Diceros bicornis minor: one gene and its partners. The main gene of each other region encodes a partner of the protein of the gene in region 3 in a complex. Links are inferred from orthologs where the notes say so. Each region holds a gene or a part of one and is shown on either strand. Other genes may lie near its edges.

What was found.
Region 1: TCTN1 (region 3) and CEP290 share a complex: the UniProt entries of both Homo sapiens proteins name them as parts of the tectonic-like complex. The link is inferred for Diceros bicornis minor from reciprocal best matches to the Homo sapiens genes TCTN1 and CEP290.
Region 2: TCTN1 (region 3) and B9D2 share a complex: the UniProt entries of both Homo sapiens proteins name them as parts of the tectonic-like complex. The link is inferred for Diceros bicornis minor from reciprocal best matches to the Homo sapiens genes TCTN1 and B9D2.

The regions. Positions count from the first base shown.
Region 1 is NC_080764.1:33,002,134-33,005,882, forward strand, and holds the start of CEP290 (centrosomal protein of 290 kDa), read left to right. Parts: upstream 1-990; 5' UTR 991-1,464; intron 1,465-1,760; 5' UTR 1,761-1,785; coding exon 1,786-1,887; intron 1,888-2,038; coding exon 2,039-2,116; intron 2,117-3,203; coding exon 3,204-3,273; intron 3,274-3,574; coding exon 3,575-3,621; intron 3,622-3,749. UniProt on the Homo sapiens protein: Involved in early and late steps in cilia formation. Its association with CCP110 is required for inhibition of primary cilia formation by CCP110.
Region 2 is NC_080773.1:15,359,390-15,363,138, reverse strand, and holds the start of B9D2 (B9 domain-containing protein 2), read left to right. Parts: upstream 1-1,383; 5' UTR 1,384-1,521; exon of another isoform or gene 1,522-1,586; intron 1,587-2,004; 5' UTR 2,005-2,008; coding exon 2,009-2,096; intron 2,097-3,749. UniProt on the Homo sapiens protein: Component of the tectonic-like complex, a complex localized at the transition zone of primary cilia and acting as a barrier that prevents diffusion of transmembrane proteins between the cilia and plasma membranes.
Region 3 is NC_080774.1:9,094,926-9,098,674, reverse strand, and holds the start of TCTN1 (tectonic-1), read right to left. Parts: upstream 2,473-3,749; 5' UTR 2,440-2,472; coding exon 2,220-2,439; intron 1-2,219. UniProt on the Homo sapiens protein: Component of the tectonic-like complex, a complex localized at the transition zone of primary cilia and acting as a barrier that prevents diffusion of transmembrane proteins between the cilia and plasma membranes.

The DNA of each region.
Region 1 (3,749 bases), on a different chromosome or scaffold from region 3:
CAGAATGAGAGCAGTGGGATAAGCAAAACTTGCACAAATAAGAGCTGTAAACACCTGAGAAGGCGCTTTCATAGAAGAGCACCCTCGGTAACCAAGCAAGTGACAGCTGCAGGACTGGTGGGTACTGAAGCCCCTTCTCTCTCCACCCCCAGCAGTGGCCCCGACAAGTTCTAACCTCTCCTCTCTAGAGCCTTCACTCTAGACACACAGCTCCTCAACCTTCAAGTCCTTCCACCCGCGACGGTGATGGCGCTACAGGCAAGGCGGGCGGGGTCGGAGGATGCACTGCCCTCCTCTCAATTCCTCACTCGCCCCCAAACTATGATCTCGGCCGCGCGGCCCCCACTCCACTGTACACAGACAGGTTCTGATACCAAAGAGGGGTAAAACTTTTCTGTCTTCTTACAGAGGACACCCCCCGGGGCGTCGCTTGCAAAGGCCTAAGCAGAAGGCGGGGTCTTCCCACCTCTCCATTCTCGGGCCAGGCCCTTCCGCCCCGATGGCGGGAGCGTCTCCAAATCAGGACCGCTCCCCTCAACTCCTCCCCCGCCGCTGACCGACAGCTCGACCTCACCTGGGAGCGGCTCCACGAGAGGACGGCTCAGGGAAACCTCAAGAAGAGCGGTCCAGAGAACGACGCCACCGCAGGCACACTCATGGTCTACCTCGTTCACAGCAGACGCGCCTCAGCCACCGCGCCTCCGCCACCGCGCCTCCCGCCGCCGGCTGGTTCCCCCGCCGCCCCGGTACGGTCGCAGCCTCTCGCATTGCACGCCGGGAACGGCCTACCTCCACTTCTCATTGACTTCAGTTCCCAGGATGCACAAGCCTCCAAGCAGAACTGCACTCTGGGATTTGGAGTCCTCATCCCCAAGACTTCTCCTTGTCCTTTTCACAGAGTCCGGGAAACCCGCTGGGGAATCTAAACGTAAAGCATCACCCATAGTCGTGAAATGTAGGCTCCCTGGCATCCGGGGCCTTGTTCCAGCCTTGGCTGGGTGGGGAATGGTGTCGCCTAGCAGCCGCCGCCGCTATTCCTCGCTCAGGACCAGTTGGCGGGAGCCAGTGTCCGGTTGGCACTGCGCTGGGGAGCGGTCAGGCGTGGCGGCGGGGCCGTGCTTGGTGGGTGCGGTAGATGAAGGGCCGCCTCTGGTTGCCAGGTTTGGCTTAGGTGCCTGGATCCTAGTGAGCATGAGCAGCGGCTGTCTTCTTACGCGGGTTCTTTAAGCTTCAGGGCCCATCTGCAGCAAAGCCCCGCTTCCCCGCCTCTTAGCCTTTTTGGTCAGCAATCCATCTGCCTTCTCCTCGCTTCAGCCCTGGTTTCCCCGGCCCAATTGCACTCATTTCAATCGTTTATTTCCTCACTTTTTTACGCCCAGTTCCTGCTTCTCCGAATCAGGGGTCGGTTTCAGCCTGCCGAGCACCTCCGCGGTTGGCACCATTAGATGTTCGCGTGCCTTGGTGGTAAGGGGGCATGAAGGAGGGGACTCAGAATCTTAGTTCTGACCAAGATTAGTTTTAACAAAGAAGCCGTCGTAGTTTGTTTAGCCGATACAATATCTGATGGTTTGTGCCAACTGCTATACTTGTGATCAAGGTTATTTTACCCGCTTATCTGTTATACAATTAAGGAGGCATAGCTCTTTGCTGACACCATAGAGAGTTAGAACAATGTAATGTGTAAAAACTGTAAATTGCTGTGAAAACATTAATGCTGTTTACCTTGAAAATGCTAATACCCACCTACCTTGTTACCGCAGGTAAAGCACAGTGAAAGAATTCAAGATGCCACCTAATATAAACTGGAAAGAAATAATAAAAGTTGATCCAGATGACCTGCCTCGTCAAGAAGAATTGGCAGATAATTTATTGATTTCCTTATCCAAGGTGCTTAATTGATAAATAATATGTAAATATATACATACAACTATGATTCATCCAAGTTGTCCCTTTAATCACTGAGTGGTACAATTGGAAGAGTTCTTATATTTTGCTTAAGTGTTATAAATATATAATAGTTGTTTTTCTGTTTACTTAGGTGGAAGTAAATGAGCTAAAAAAAGAAAGTCAAGAAAATGTGATACACCTTTTCAGAATTACTCAGTCACTAATGAAGGTTTGTATGCAGTAGGTTTTAATAACAGCTTTGACTATTAGAGAAGGTTTAAGAATCTGTTACTTACTTAAGTAACTTAAGTAAGTTAATTTCTATAAAAGTACTTTGTAATATCTAAATCACCACTAAAAAATGAGGTATTTTCAAATGTGGATTGAGAATTTTAGTGTGCAAAACATGGCTAGTTTCTGCTCTAAAGTTCCTAAAAGAATATGTGAGGGAAACAGATGGATATGTTTAAAAATAACATAGGGAGGTCCTATGTTAATTAAGTTAACATAATCCTGAGGTAGAAGTGAAAAATGCAGACGATTATTATAGGGATTTATTAGGAGGGGAAGAGATTTAGATGTGAGAAGACCTCATGAAGGTTAAAGACTGATGAGTAGTTTTAGGTAAGTGGAAAGCAGTGGTAAAATATTAAGGAGATTCTAGAGCTGGAGGTTACCATAAATAAAAACTGGAAATAGAAAATGTGTATTCTTTCCATTTGAGGAGACAAGTGCAGACACTTTGTGGCAGGCTGTAGAGGAAACAAATGTTGCCTCTACGGAGGCTGTCAAAGGCCTTGCAGGTGTATTTTACGCTGTCAGCAATGAGGAGCCATTACAAGTTTTTGAGCCACGCTTGATAGGTACAAAAATATGCCTTGGGAAGGCTAAACTAGGTATGGTAAACTAAACTATGGAGGGTAAACTAGGCTAAATAGGACAAATTGAAGGAAATTAAAGCTGTTTAGCCATAATGTTATAAAGGAGGTTAGACAAAAAATTATGGACTAGAAGAATCACAAGTAGAATAGAAAAAAAGGGATAGTGGAAAACATTACAAAGAGCAAAGTGGCAATACTGGATATAAGACTTGAGGGAAAAAGAAGAATCAAAGATGTTTCAAACTGTTAGGAATCTAAAAATTATAGCCTTAAGTAAGAAAATCATCTATTCATTCAACAGCTATTTACTGAATGTCTGTGTATGCCCGGCATTCTGAGCGCTAAGTTTTGGGATAGCAAATAAAATCCTGTTTTGGGTGCTTACATTCTAGTGTAAAGGCGTATTGAAATAAATTTTGTGTTTTTAATGTTTAGATGAAAGCTCAAGAAGTAGAGCTGGCTTTGGAAGAGGTTGAAAAAGCTGGAGAAGAGCAAGCAAAATTTGGTAAGTGCTATGGAAAGTTAATTATGATGCTAAATAGTGGATTCCATTTGTTCTCTAAGCAACAGAGAATTAGCTTTAATACATTCTATAAAATGTGTAGACTCAATTTATTTTGAAAGATATTCTAGAACTCCTATTCCATAGATCAGGTATAAGATAGTTATTTTCTCTTCTATTACCTTATTATTACAATCATGATGGAATCTTTAAAAAGAATTTATTTTATTATTTTATTGAAATTTATTTAGAAGTTTGTCTTGAGATAAATTGACCAATTGAAACATTTGTCTTTTTTTAATAGAAAATCAATTAAAAACTAAAGTAATGAAACTGGAAAATGAACTAGAGGTATGTCCTTTTGTATTCCCTAGGGTGTAGTTGTTCATTTTATTATTTTGAATTATTATTTTCAAATTTTTCTATTATTATTATTGGAATAATCACAAGAATGATACTGTGTTCATAATTATTTGTTT
Region 2 (3,749 bases), on a different chromosome or scaffold from region 3:
GCTACGCCACAGGGCCAGCCCCTGGGAACCTTTTTCTTAATCACTAATATCACCCAGTGGGGAAGAAACCAATTGAAGAAAAAATATTTAAGAAGGAGCATTGACAGGCCTTGATGACTTGTCGCATGTGGGAAGTGATGGAGTCTAGGAGGACACCCAGGCACAACTTCCATATTCCTTTGACACTGGGAGACGTGTATCCAAGAGAGGCAGGATAGCAGAAAGGTTGAGAACACAAGGTTTAAAGCAAGGTTTAAAGAGTCAGACAGAACTGTGATCGATTTGGCTAAGACAAAAGATTTTGCCTCAATTTCTTCATCTTAAATAAAGCCAATAATGTTACCTACCCTGCAAGGATTAAAGGAGACCATGCATGCAAAACGATCAGTTTACAGGGGCTGTCGCAGAGAAAGCACTCAATAAATGGTAGCTTTCAAATATATCTATTAGTGAAATATTATCCTATTAAATTATTTATATAAATATTATACTATTGAAATGTTGCCCCCTCCCTATAACTTTGAGCTGGTGACTCGAACTTTTGTGGTCCCGTTTTGCTAAAAAGTAGGAGAAAAAGTTCCCTTTGGACTCCTGGTCTGGGCTGGAGGAGTAACTAAGGGTCAACTGCACTTAGGGGGCGGGAAAGGCCCTGCTCAGGAAATCAGAACGTATCAGGGCCGCTGACAGTCTCCTTGCGCCCATTACATGGATGAGATAATGGAGACACAAAGGCGTGCAAGGCCACAAGATAAGACACTGGCAGAGTCTAGTCTTCAAGAACCGGATTTTCTGCAGAAAAAGGGGCCGCAGTTCCTCATTTCTCATACCCCTGCCCCCACACCCGCCTCCTTGCTCAGAGCCAGCAGTAACTGAACTGGGCAGTATTTCTGAGAAGGAAGTTGGATTTATCAGTCCTTGAGGAGCCTGGGGGAACTCTAAAAAAGGAAGGAAACCCCCCTCCCCAACTTCTCGAGTCTCTCTGAAAGAGGAAGGATCTTTTTTCCAGTTATGAGGCAGGGGGATGCACACAATGACCTGAGAAAGAGTCCCTCTTGTTCCTGGCTCAAGTCTCTGATTTGTGGTCCGGTTGGGAGAGAGTTTAGGGGAGCATAGGGCATCGACGTCTTCGCTTATTTTGTAAAGAGGGTTACTGGAAGAAACAGTTGGCGCTCAAACTTCCTCAGCCACACTCAAGATGGCAGCTGCCCGGCCACGCCCCAAAAGGCGGAACCGTGGGTCGTGGCTGGAGAGACACTTTTCCCAAAATGGAGACAGCGGGGGAGAGAAAACGTCCATCATAGCTTAGCCCCACCCTCGAGGACGGCTAGGGCCAATTAGCGACGCGCAGGGCGGGTGCAAGGCCAGGGGAAGAGGCTGCTGTTGCCCCAGCAACAAGCAGGGAGCCCGGAGGCGGGCGCGGCTCGGAGGGATCTCACTGCTTCAGATCTCTCACTGCTGGGAAAGTCCTGGGAGAGGGGCGAACCAGGCCTGGGAATTCAGCGCCCGCGGAGAGAGGGACAGGTCAGGCCCATGAACTCCAAGCCCCACTGCCGCTTTCGCCCCTCCTAACCGTTAAGCGCTCTGAGGTAGGAATAACGCATGCGCGGGCTTAGAGGCGGGGCTAAGGCGGCCATGCACTTAAGACGCATGCGCCTCATGGAGCTTGGGCGATCTGACGCGAGGGGGCGGGGCTTCTGTGCTTGTGGGCGGAGCCGTAGGCCCCTGGGGCGGGGCTTTCCGTCGTAATGAGCAAGAGGAAAAGGTTATTTTAAGGCAGGCAAAGTTAGACGCCAGCTTCTCAGCCCAGCTCCCCATATTTATCCGGGGCTCTCCTAGCGAGGCAGTTAGGATCATGGTTAAGACTGCTGCCTCAGTGGTTTGACGAAACTAGCTTGGAATCCTAGTACAGCCCCTTACTCCGTGGGGCTCAGTTTTCCCATCTGTCAGGTGGACATAATAATACCCGTATCTCAGAGGGCTGTGATTATATCTTTCCCCTCTCAGGGCCATGGCTGAGGTGCACGTGATCGGGCAGATCTTGGGTGCCACAGGTTTCTCGGAAAGTAGCCTCTTCTGCAAGTGGGGCGTCCACACAGGTATTCCGGGCCTGGTTCATTTCCCCACCAAGAGCCCCCTAGCCTAGATGCTCCACCCTCCTTCCTTGATGCCCTGACCATTCCCTGCTCTGCATCTTCCATTGGCTCTCAGGACTCCTAGCCTGACCACACTGTCCACGTGATTCTCAGGCTCCCTTCTTATTCCTTCCTATCCCATCTCTGGGGGCTCTGACTCCCACTCTCTGAACACACAGCCCCTAAAGATGGGGACTACAGGCTAGACCCCCCCACACACACACTTCCAATGCTCAAAACAGTAGACAGCCCTAACCCCACTGTTTGGACTTTGCTCCCTGTCTTAGGGGTGCCTTGGGTCCCTCTGGCATCTTAATTCTTTGCTTAACAGCCTCTACTTTATTGAGTTCTTACTGTAAAATGGAAGTTTTCATCCCAGATTTACACAGGAGAGGCCACCCTCCTGTATTCATAATTCTCTGTGGGAATGTAGGAACCCCATTCTGGCTGTCATACAAGTCCATCCACACAGCCCCTGGAGGGACCTCAGAGGCTCCAATTTTCATGCCTCCCCATCAAAGGCAGTATAGCATGGTGGTGCAGCATAATGGTTAGGGCCATAGGCTGCCAGATCTGGGCTCAAATACGAACCTATTCATTGGGGGACTTTGGACTTGACTGCCCTGAGCCTTCCCTTCCTTGTCTGATAATGAAGCTAACAGCAGCTAAGAGGCAGCAGAGTGTTGAGGTTAAGAGCACAGACTGCCTGGGTTCAAAACCAGCTGTGGCTTATTAATTATGTGACCTTGGGCATTGTCTTTGCCTCAATTTCCCTGTCTGTACTATAGGAATAATCACAATACTTACCTCATGGGGTTGTTGTGAGGACTAAGTGGACATCACCAGCACTTAGAAGAGGGCCTGGCTTAGTAAGTGCTCAGTGAGTGTCTGGCTCCTGTAACAATTGGGTGGGACTTATTTTTAAAGCCCAGGTATGCTGCTTGGCACAGGAACATGCCCGTGCTACGAGTGTGGCTATTGCCATTATCATGTCTTCAGGCCCCGGGTCCTTGGTGATTTCACTGGTGGGTAGGGTGCTGGTTGAGATTGCCTGGGAATTTGGGGTCCTCCAGCTGAGCCCAGTCAGACTTGGGTTCCAGTCCAGCTGTCCCGTCTTGGAGCCCCCGTTTCCTCTTCTGTAAAGTGGGAACGTTTGTCCTTCATAGGGATGTTGGGAAGTCTCGCATGTGAAGAACTAGACTCAGGGCCTGGCACTTTCCTTGCATGGCCCAGAAGGGAGCAGTAACTAACGTGATTTTTATTATTTCAGGGGGCTCTTGCGAGGTAGTTAATCTAGCAGAGAGCTCAGGGGCAGTCGGATAAAGGGATTGAACTCTGCAGTCAGACAGAGCTCAGTTTGAATCCAGCTCCACTGTGGGACCTAGGTGTGTGGTCCTGCTGTATCCCCAACGTGGAGAACAGTGCTTGGCACACAGTAGGTGTTCAATGAATGTTCATGGAATGAATGGCCAAGTGACTTTCCTTCTTAGAGTCGGTTTCTTTACCTGTAAAATGAGGATTGGATTAGCACCTGCCTCCTAGGATCACTTATTTGTCCAACAAACATTTGTTGAGCACCTTCTGTATACCAAGATCTGGGTTGGAGGTCCAGGGGAT
Region 3 (3,749 bases):
AGAAGGGAAGGTTCTGTCAATAAATACACAATCTTTTGTTAGTCTGAGACACAAAAGTTTACGTGCTTCTCTCTAGCCAAGGACTCCTCTATGTGCTTAGTAAAATAACGCACACTAAAGTAAAAAATAAAGAGAGTGTTCGGGCTCCCTGTCTTATGCATTTAAAATTATAATCTTGATTTGTTTTCCAAACTTAAAACCCTTGTAGGTAGCTATAAGACTACTAAGGACAAAGCAATAGTGTTTAATAACTCCACTTAGGGGAAAAAAAGGTCTCTATCCAGGATACGAGTGCACTTAATCAGCCAACAAGTATCTGTTGGGCACTTGCAGGGTCTAAGTAGCACTCAGCTGCTTTGCCACACCTTTCAATGTCCGCACGCCCGGCTCACAGAGCAGGGCACTCAGAAACAGAGCTGATGCAAGACGAAAGTTATCACTCTTCTCTTCCATCTGTAACCCATTCTACAAAGGGCTGTCCAGTTCTCCACGCAGAGCCAGCCTCCTGCTCCAACACGTACCAGGAGTGTGAGCTAAAATCAGGCAGGTAATTCACCTGCCTGAAAAATGGGGATAGCCCACATCATAGGATTGTTATGAGAATTAAATGAGATACATCACAGATGAAATGCTTAGCACAGTGCCTGCTACACAGTAAGCAGTTAATAAATGCCAGCTGTCGTTTATTATCATTACTTTCACAGGTCTAAGGAGGGCTCCTTTAAAAAGATGAAGTGAAAATTCATCCCCTATACTGGAAAAAAAGCGCTGAACACATGCCCTAATAATGATGATTCAAGAATAGCTTCATTCTGGGGAGAAAGTGGATTAACAGATGAATACTGACATGGATAAAAGACAACACAGTCCAAAAACCTTAGAGAATTTTGGGCCTTGACTACACTGCCGTATTCCGTCCCAATTTATCATTGATTTAACTTCCCTACTAATTCATCAAATGAACAGTTTAAATACAAAACAGAGTTTTGTTTACATATATTGAAACAGAAAATATATTTCTCTGTACTTTTTCTTACAGACTACTCATAATTTATAAAGGAGGCCCTCTGGAGAAATAATGGTTCCGTAACTGAAGTTAAGTCCTACAGCTCAGGACGTCAGCCAATGATGACTTTTCTATTTACTAATATTGAGCCATACTCAATTTAAGAAAAGAGTGCCGGCCCCGTGGCTTAGCGGTTAAGTGCACACGCTCCGCTGCTGGGGGCTCGGGTTCGGATCCCGGGTGCGCACCGACGCACCACTTCTCCGGCCATGCTGAGGCCGTGTTCCACATACAGCAACTAGAAGGATGTGCAGCTGTGACATACAACTATCTACTGGGGCTTTGGGGGGAAAATAAATAAATAGAATCTTTAAAAAAAAGAAAAGATCTTTTTCTCATAAGAAGGGATAAAAAATACTGCATACCTATTGAGGTTACAGTCAGTGGACTTAGAATTTTTAAGATCACAAATCCTTTTGAGAAACTGCTGATTGCTATGAACGCTCACCCCAGAAAAATGCATATTCACAAAATTTTGCACTCAATCTCAGGGTCACAGACAGACATCTCCTGAAGTCATCAATCTCAAATCAGATTATAAAATATTCACTAAATGTGTAACTCCAGGATTAGATCACCTTCCGAGAAATATGTTAATTATCCCTAAAGATGAATCCTAAGAAGTGGGCATAACCCCTTACCCTACAGCTTCCCCTTCCAACTCAACACAGGAGGAATCCTGAGTTTTCATAATTCAAGTCAATAGGCAAGGGCCTTGACCCAGTCACATTTTGTAAGCTAGACTTCTGGCATCTCTTTTTTTGGTAAGTGAAAAGTCTGATGCATCCTATGCATTTCATTTCCACAACTGTCTAGAAACTTTCGATTTTGTCTTCTGCTGCAAATCTGCAAGGATTCATTCATTATTACTTTTAGCATTAACGTTGTCCAGGACCATTGCAAGTACTTTCAAAGATCTGATATTGTCCCACTTACACTCTCTGAGCCTCAGTTTTCTCATCTGTATGCCAGGGATAATAATATCTACCTCGCAGGGTTGTTGAGAGAATGAATGCCTATGAAACACTTAGCAATGCCTGCACACAGTAAGTGTTCAATAAACGTTAACTATCATTATTACATCCTCACTCGGGCTACCCTCCCTCCAGGTTAGATTACTGTGGATCCCCAGGAGTTGGCACTTGGTACCCACCGTCCGTAACCGGGGTGGGCCTGGGGCCAGAGGAGGGCCGAGGGGCCCTGGGGGTCTCGGGAGGCCTAGGCGACAAGGCAGGTCGGAGAGTCATCAGGGCTGCCTCCGTAGAGTTGAGGCCCTCCGTCGTCACCGCGGAGGTGGCCCCGGCCTGGGCGCTCCCAGAGGCCCAGCAGTCCAGGAGCACGAGCAACAGCGGCGGGAGATCCCGCGGCCCCATCCCCTGGCCGAACCCGGAGCAGCCAGCACCAGGGGGACCAGACGTTGCCAAGCAACCGCGGCAGCCGGGCGCGGGGCATTACGGGAAGAGTCCCTCGAGACCTCGCGAGACGGCAGGAGCTGAGGGCGGGGCCTGGGAGAGGCGGGCGGGAGAGGCGGGAGGCGGGAGAGGCGGGAGGCGGGAGAGGCGGGAGGCGGGAGAGGCGGGAGGCGGGAGGCGGGAGGGGGCGGGGCCTGGGAGAGGCTGGACACGAGGGGCGGTGTGAGTCCAGTGGAGACGAGCGGCTTGTGAAATTGTGTTGTGCTTCCCCGCGGCCTCCGGCGCTTGTTTAAAAAGTGCGGATTTGCAGATTACATCTCAGGGGATTCTGATTCAATAAGTCTACAGCAGGGTCCAGGAATTGATATTTTTAACAAATGTCTTGACGCAACAGTCGGGGGACAGAAATTTGGGAACCGCTCTCCTAAAGCTACTAAGTAGGGTCTTTTGCGGGAGCACAGAGATCACATCATCATCCTTGAATTTTCTGTCTCCCACACCCTGTCCACGCTGGCTTTGCCTTTTTTGTTTTAGATGCATCGCAGGAGATCGCCAGACAACTTCTGTTCACCGTGTTGTGATAAGCGGGACAAATGAACACAACTTTTTTACCCACAAAAACATTGACAAAAAATAAGTAGAATGATTTATACATCTTAAAAAGAAAAAACAAAGCAAATCTGTAACTCTACAAAATGACACGGAGACCACAAGACTTAGGGAAGCACTTCCATTCTAAACTGGCTTATTTATAAAGGTACTCCAACTCAGGGATGTTGGCTATACCTTTGACGGTTCATCTCCTTACAATTCAGAAGTAGATGTTAAAATACTTGAACATATCGTGGTATCTATTCAAGAAACACATTTCCACAGTATATATACCTAATTTATTAAATTTATATAGCAAAGCTAAATCATCAAAGTGACATCTTTAGCATCTTCCTGTGGCATTCCAGAGAAAATGTTTTAAAGTGTAATTGGATCACTCAAATGTGTAATACAGATATTTCCAAATTTTTTTTCTCCAAAGGATTGCTTTAGTGTCTGATTGAAATTTTGGACCACTTTTAATAACTGATACAACACTTCCCTTAAAATATATTTTTTTTTTTTCCCCAAACTTTCATAACTTCTAAATCCAGGGCTGATTGTTGTTGATTTTTTAAACCTTCTCTTATCTTCCAGGCCTCTACTTTCTTTTGTATTCCTTAATATCAGTGAATCACTTTGTCCTGTTTTCTGTTTTGAAATTTTAGGCTGTTGGACCA